2 linked regions of the Drosophila melanogaster genome follow. The protein of the gene in region 1 interacts with the protein of each later gene in a pairwise test. Each region holds a gene or a part of one and is shown on either strand. Other genes may lie near its edges.

Region 1 (3,837 bases):
TTGTGCCATGTGTTTTGTGGCCGCTTTGTTTGTTGGCTCAAAATTGCTGGCAGGCTGCCACACGAGGACTCTTTGGGACTGCGATTTGGACTGGGATCGGGACACCGAAACCGAAACTGAGACTGAGACTGAAACTGAGGATGGGGATGAGGATAAAGTCGAGGACGAGGCCGAGTACGAAACGAGACACAGACAGGACTTGTCACGTCAGCGGCACAAAGCCCGAGCACAAAGGCCTGATAACTGCAGTCGCCTGATAAGCAGCGCCCCAAACAAGGATCTGCCCATCTACTTGGCGACACTCGAAAAAGGGGTGGATATTTAAATGTTTATAAACATAAAACTTAGATTAATTGAACCTTTTAAAACCAGTGCTTTTTGTTGTAATAAATTGGTTGGTTTACCATTGAGACAACTTTTTTCTTTTTAAAGGTTCTTCTTTGACCCCCAATTTATCCAAGTGTGGCCTTTTTACCCCAGGGCCCACTGAAGACCCTTCGCCACCCGGAAGCACAAGTCCCTTCTTTTGTCATTTCGCTCATAACGTTAATTTATATTCAGTTCAGTCTAAAAAAAAAATGTAGAATAGCCAGTGGTAGTGTAAGTACACCTAGTACAGTGAAGCCCGTGTGACAGCCATCGAGAGAAGGAATGTGGAAGTTTGGATAGGTTGCTTGTTTAAATTAAAGGATCCTAGTTGTAGAACTGCTGGCGACGGCGCTGTGCCGGAGCGGCGGCCACAAAGCGACGTCCCGAGTTTCCGGCGGAGGAGGAGCCCTCGTTGGCGGAGTACAGAAGCAGGGGTATCTCCTCCACGCTGGTCTGCTGCTGCTGGGCAGAGTTGCGCACGCCGGAGCGGAGCAGCTCGTCGGCGGATAGGCGGCGCAGGGCGGCGGGAGCGACGGCTACAGGAGCGGCGACTGGAGCGGCTCCGTCTAACAGCTGATCCTCATCGTTCTCTGGCTGCTCCAGTACCACATCCTCGGGCTGGGCTACGGCAATGCTGTTGCCCACGGGGGCCTCGCCTTCATTGTCGGCAGCCGAGATCGAGCTGCTCTGCAGCAGAGCCTCGATGTTCTCCAGGTTGGACAGACCGTTGATCTGCAGCTGGTCGTGCAGCTCGGCAGGAATGGCGATGGCCTGGACATCCTTGTGACCGGAAATTCCATTGGGTGTCGGGATGAACTGAACGTTCTCGGGAATCTGATCGGTGGGATAGACGGGCACCAGCTCGGCCTCGTTCTCGTTGCTTGACTTCAGCAGGATCAGAGAGATGGGCACGATCTTCTTGAACTTAAGCAGAACCAGCTTCTTAATGGCCACGGCACCGGGGAAGACTCGTCCCTGGGGACCACTGTGGGGCTTCGCTATGAGGGCACGCTGCTCAAAATGCTGCCTGCGATGGTGTCCGCTCACATGGCGGGCTAATGGGATACAAAGACATGGGGTTAGGAAATAGGGTTGGCAGAAATGGTTTAAATTCGCCCTGACGAACTAGTTTAGCTTTTAATATCATCGTATATTAGGAACACATATTAAAAAAAAGTCAATGCACTTCAACAAAAGTCTGTCATTATTAACAAAGAACTATGAAAATTGCTTGTTTCTCAAAAACTATGAAAGCAATTTATTAATTAATAACCGTCACTTAATTATGATTTCGAAGAGAATGTATGATACTGATGGATATTGGAAAAGCGAACATAATTCATCAAAGATTATTTTTCGTCTCCTAAATCACCAACCAACTCACCTTCGCACGCGGCAAAGATTGCCAGTCCGATGGTCAAAAGGGCTACCAACTTAATTGCCATAATGATGTATATATGGGATCTTCTTGTGAACTTGGATTTGATGTGGACTTGGACTTGGACTTGGGCTTGGGTCTGTCGCTGGACGAGGGCCTCTATTAAATGGTCCATCAAGTGCCCGGCAAAGACATTTTATACAGGGAAGGAACATTCACCTGGCCGGCGAAAAGCAGGCAAAACAGCGTAGACACATAAAAATCACACGAAAAACAAAAGAAATTAGGTGGCCAGGCAGCAGAACAAAGTAAAATGTAGCGAAATTGGTGGGGACTTGGACGATTGGCAAATTATTAAACTATGCAAATGTCCGTCGACTGATTTATGCACAAAAACCAGTAATAGAAAACCCAAAAAGCAGAGAACCCAAAAACTCCTAACATCCCAGAGATCGCAGAACGTTGACTTCTGGTGGCTACATTTCCATTTCCAGTTGCATTTGACTCTTTACCAAAATCGAGAAATTTGCATTTTGGGTCGCCTGGAGAAATACGGAAAAATACAAAAACCGTCTGGCGAATTCTTGAGCCAATTTTGAGGTCAAAAGTGAGATTTTCAATAAGTCAAACCGTTTCCATTTGTCAATGTCCGAAGTGGGCGAGGTCTCACTGTTCTTCCCCGCAGATGTCAGAGTTCGAGGCTTATTTGGGCCACATTCATTTGCCTGCCTGTCTGCCATATAGCCATATACAAAGATATTCTTTGGCCAGCCAGCATGTGTTCCCCATTCGGATCGAGGAACGAGCATTTAAATCAATCAAGTGGATCGAGTCCATAGTGCGAAATTTATTCTTTTCTCCGCCATTCTCTGCATTGAAAGCAGGCTCAACTTAGTGCCAGAGATTAAGTGGCTAATCTATCGAACTATTAGTGATAAGCTGCGCGAAATAATGGCATGACGGATTATGGTTTTATGGAATTTATGAGTGTCTGCTCTCTTTTTTGTGTTCTTCTATTGTTGGCTAATTTAAATCAATAATCTTCCTTTTGTTTAGGACCTATGCAAAATTAAAGCTATTTTGAAAATAGCATTTAAAATGCGCCTAAAAATTGGCTGTAAAAGTGTAAATGTATTGGCCAAAAGAGTTTTGCTATAGAGAACTTTAAATTTAAATCACAGTCCGCCTGCAAAATAATGCAAGATCGTAAGAAACAACTATCTGAATTAAAATAAATTGCAATTGCTTTTGCATTTTCCTTCAAATATTACCATTATTTTCGGCTTGCAAAACAATTGTAAAGAACAATAATTTTCACAGAGCGGGTACATCGAGCTATTCCCGATATTAAATGTTAATTGAATGCCTTCAATAGTGGCTGAAATTGGAGACCAATCGATTTCCTCAGCCCTACTCAATTCCGAATTTGGGCCACTGACCACGGGTGGTATGATTAATTTATGTGCTGTATTTTTTTCGAACTCCATGTTTTTTTTGCCAGCCTCTCCGATGGTTTATCTAATTTATGTTATTGCCGCGGCAATTATTTAAATTTTCCACAGCTACCGTTGGCAGTTCTTTCTAATGACAAGGGCGGACTGGGGGAAAAAAAAAGGAAAACATATTTGCCGCCCATTATGGGCGACATAAACAAATGTTTTAATAACCAAATTATGCGAAAAAGAACGCAATGTATTCATAAGCTCGAAGAGCTGGGCGAGCAAAAGAGATCCCAGCCAAGTTATTTGATGCTAATGGAAATGCATAAAAAGATCGTAAATACTCATTAGCAAAGTGTGTGGTTTCTAGCTATGTATATGGCAAAGAAAGTTGCCCCCATGGCGGGGTCAGCACATCTCACCCAATCATTTGCGGGGTCAACATATTTTGGAAAGTTACTGTTGTAGGGAAAGTTCTATTTTTGGAGCGCGTCTAAGAAATATTCCCAAAAATTAGCACACTGATCCACATTCGATGAAAAGAAATCGCAGAGCGGAAATTACTAGTGAATTCGGGGAATTCACTTGACTTGCAATCAATCTATATCTCTTTGATATTCATTACTAATTTATGCACGTGTACAAAATGAT
Region 2 (4,001 bases), about 17 Mb from region 1:
GAGAATGAGGAGAGAGAGAATGAGAGAGCGAGAGAGAGAGAGAGACGGCGAGAGAGCGAAAGAATCGGTCGATCGCATAATGAAACCAAAAAGCAAAACGTTAAAGTTATTTCCATATTATATTATATATACATATAAATTTAAATATAAATGTTAGTTGAAGTCCACTCATAATTAAACACAAGGCTTAAACGTTAGACGCAACCCAATTGAATCCAATCCAATCCATTCCCATCCATCTCGAGTCCGAACCCCGCCCAAAACAGTTAATAAGCTACGTAATTGATATTGATAACCCCGAGAACACAAAGGGGCTAAAAACGTTTATAATGATGATCTATTTAAAAGTTAGATGCCGCAAAGAAAACTCTATCTGAACTAAACGGAAGCTAAATAAAATACTTTATAAAGCAATTGCCCCCCGTTTAATTTAGTATCTTGCAACGACTGAAAGAAATGGATCCACCCGGGGGCGCCAAGTAATGGATTGTTAAAGCATAATGCTGAGATAAAGAAGTTCTTCGTATTTATTTTAGACTAAAAATTTAGCAGATCTCTTGAAGCCTACGCCCAGACCTAGCCAACTACTTTTCATCGCTGGTAAAGGACAGGCCGGAAGTGAAGCCATCGCTGAACGCGCTGTACTCCGCCTGCTCCTCCGCCTGCGGCTGGTCGTCGGCCTGTTCCCGGCCCAGTTCCTCCGGCTGTCCCGAGGCGTTCTCTTGGCTGCCTGTGGGCACGCAAGAGCGCGGTGCCGTGCGGCGCTTTAACGGCGTCTCATCGTCCTGGCCGTCGTCACGTTCATCCTCGTCCAGCTCATCCCGCGAGACTTCCACTGCGGCTGCCTGAGCTGGGGAATCGGAAGCGGTGCCGCTGGTGTTGACCGCCGCATTGCCCAAAACGGCTCCCACGACTCCTCGCAGCACCCTGTAGAAGGCGTCGTGCACCTGACCCATCACTTGGCTAGCCGGACGCACTTGCTCCGCCTCGGGCTGTTTATACTGTTGGTACTGGTTTGGCGGCTGAATCTGCTGGCCTCGCGCCCAGCTGCTGTGGCTGCTATGCTTCACGGCTCCCTCCGCCCGACGCTGCGGCTCCTCGCAGGGACACTTGCGCCGCGGAGCAGAGCCTGATCCTCCCGATGTGGGCGGAGGTGGTGGCGGCGGCGGATCGTCGCGACAACCATTGTCATCCTCGCCCGCCGCCCGGCGCTGCTGCTCGCGATCGAACTCGGTCATGGCCCGCTCCGATCGCTCCCGGCAAACGGAGCAGTCGGGATCCGCGCCGTAGACGCCAATGTCGCCATTGAGGGACGACTCGTGGTCCGATTCGCAGCTGCACTTGCCGCTGGCCAACTCGCCGGTCTTGCCGGATCCGCGGCGCAGCTTGTACACGATGAACAACAGGGCCAACGTGGCGTATGTGGCCTTTGCCACCTGCGAAATGGGTCATAGTATATGTATTTGTAAAAAATGTATGTAAAAAAATGTTAAATTAATAATTTTGAATTTCAATTTGGAGCTGAAAATAATATTTTGTGTCCATCAACAGCTCCAAAGCGATGGTTCATTTTATCTTGTGTGCGTTCAATAGAATCACTCTTACGTTAGCGCGTCCATTGATGGTTGTCCCATTGAAGTACTTCTTAAAGCCGTCGGCCATTGCTACTGGACTGGATCTGGAGATCTGGAGATCTGGATTTGGGGTCGGGTCCGGGTGAGAGCTGAGTGTGTTCTGCCTATAGCTCCGAGCGAGAACCTAATGACAAGCAGCGAAGTGCAAAGCTCGGCCAACTAGATTACAAAGTCGATTCATTGGCAGGATTCGATTTTTATTGACTCAACGAGGTGGTACATGAGTTTGGTCCCCAAGCCTTTAACTGTGGCATCGAGGACCGGAAAGGGGGTGCTGATTATAAATAGTTATGGATTGCTGACGGGTCGAATGGGTCGGAGCGGTGGGGAGCCATGACTTCAATGATTTGGCAGCATCGGCGCCCTAGCCATGGAGCATGGCCTGCTGGCAGCCCTTGCAGTAGAGCTTGGTCTCGCGCCGCTTCGTGTTGCGGCGGTGCATCTTGACCAGGACGTAGACGAGTCCCAACGAGGCCCAGGTGGCCTTGGCTACCTGTGGGTTTCGGTGGCGTATTTGGGCGCATCTTGTGTACTGCCGTGTACTGAATCACTTACATTGGCGCGACCACGCATGGTCTGGCTGTTGAAGGCTTCGTTGAAGTTGAAATGATCGGACATCTTTGGATCGTTGTTGACCGGATTGGCGTGGCTTTTAACAAAAGATTAAAATTTGGATTCGATATTCGACCTGTATTTTAGACCGGGATTCGGATTGTGACTTTTAAACGTTCGAAATGAAAGGAATGTTACTGACAGTCGTCAAAGCCGACTCGGGTTTCCCAACTAGAGAGAATGCTGAAGTCTAGTACCGACTAATGGGATACCCATTAATTACTGCTTAAATACTGTGATGAAAATTGAGATATGCAAGAGGCAAATCGAAAGTTTTGGACATTTTCATATTGTACCTTTAACCAACTTCAGAATTCATTGAGCTAAATACCATTTACAATTTTATGAAATTTTTAAGCATGTTACAGCTATAACTATTTTTAAACCAGTTACTAGATTCGTTGAAAATTGTATGTCACACAGAACTTCTTGCCATCCTGGTCGGAATTAGGATCACTAGCCAAGCCGATATGGCTATGTCTGTCCGTATGAAAGTCTTGGAATCTGATATTAACATCGCATATCGATCGACCATTATATATCTAATATATCCTCTACAAATGTATTTTATCACCTAGCTAGCATGTAAACATTCTGGCCTATTTAGCTGTACGCTTCAGTTATGCTAATGCAAACATAAGCCTTTTGTGATATTATAATTTACATTTATTATTTATTGCAGTTAGCTTTATCAGCGATTTGGGCTCATGCCACACGCAATACTACTTATTTCAACGTCATCAGTTGTACTAAATGCACAAATGAAATACATTTCGCCAAATAAATGCCAACTTGCAACTAATTTGAATGCTAATCAAACCGAACTACTCATTTGCATACAAGGTAATAGGTGGTTAAAGTGAGTGTAATGGACTTACTTAAGGGGTTACAAGGCTTATATTTAAAATGCCTGCCTTGTAATTAAATTTTTAAATATATTGGAAAAAAATGGCCACTTGTTATGTGAGTCTCCAGAAAAAAAACAAAAAAACAGCAACCATCTGGTATGCAAAATATCTGGTGGTAGCAAAATATCTGGTGGTATCTGGTGGACTATCAAAATATAAAAACTTTTTTTTCCAGATAGTATATCTTAAAATCAGCATCTTGAAGGAGTATATGTAAATAGCAAACTATTTGTAAAAATAGATTTTATTTTATAATTTTTTAAGATATATACCAAACATTATTACCGATTGTGATTATCTTTACATTGTTTGACCTCAAAACGGAAAACTGGATGCGCGGTATCCATGCGACCCTAACTCTGGAACCGATTTTGGAACCGCCCCGTTAGATCTCAGATTGAAACCTTATTTGCATTCGCATGATCGCTGATGAACACTGGGGAAATGCGGCCCAGCAATGGGATTGTCAACGCATCTCGGCCAGAATCGCGCCTCGCATGCCACCTCGCACGGTGACCACATACCTGTGTACACTGTCAATTAACGTGGCAAGATTATAGCCCGGCCAGAAAGTAATCCGCCCCAGGAACACCACCCACCGCCCGCCCATTTGGATATGGAAATGGGCAGTGGGGGCGGCGATTGGCGCTAACCCATAATTCCCACACCCACTTAGCGGTTCGATCGAACCAATATGAAGTCATTTGCATGTCGGGGGCCGTGTATAAAAGGAGTCGCCGATGGGTCTGGAGTCTGGAATCCGCCAAATCGTCTCGGAAATGAAGTTCCATCTGCTGCTGGTCTGCGTCGCCATATCCCTGGGACCAATCCCCCAGTCGGAGGCAGG

The links.
Region 2: the proteins of CG14424 (region 1) and CG15459 interact in a two-hybrid assay, tested with the Drosophila melanogaster proteins (one large-scale study listed by BioGRID).

Annotation. Positions count from the first base shown.
Region 1 is NC_004354.4:2,925,356-2,929,192, forward strand, and holds CG14424 (uncharacterized protein), read right to left. Parts: upstream 1,904-3,837; 5' UTR 1,815-1,903; coding exon 1,754-1,814; intron 1,425-1,753; coding exon 694-1,424; 3' UTR 529-693; downstream 1-528.
Region 2 is NC_004354.4:20,411,836-20,415,836, forward strand, and holds CG15459 (uncharacterized protein), read right to left. Parts: upstream 1,747-4,001; 5' UTR 1,663-1,746; coding exon 1,606-1,662; intron 1,437-1,605; coding exon 585-1,436; 3' UTR 506-584; downstream 1-505. Other genes in the region: CG15458 (uncharacterized protein), read right to left, coding at 1,999-2,127, 2,190-2,252; Obp19a (Odorant-binding protein 19a), read left to right, coding at 3,934-4,001.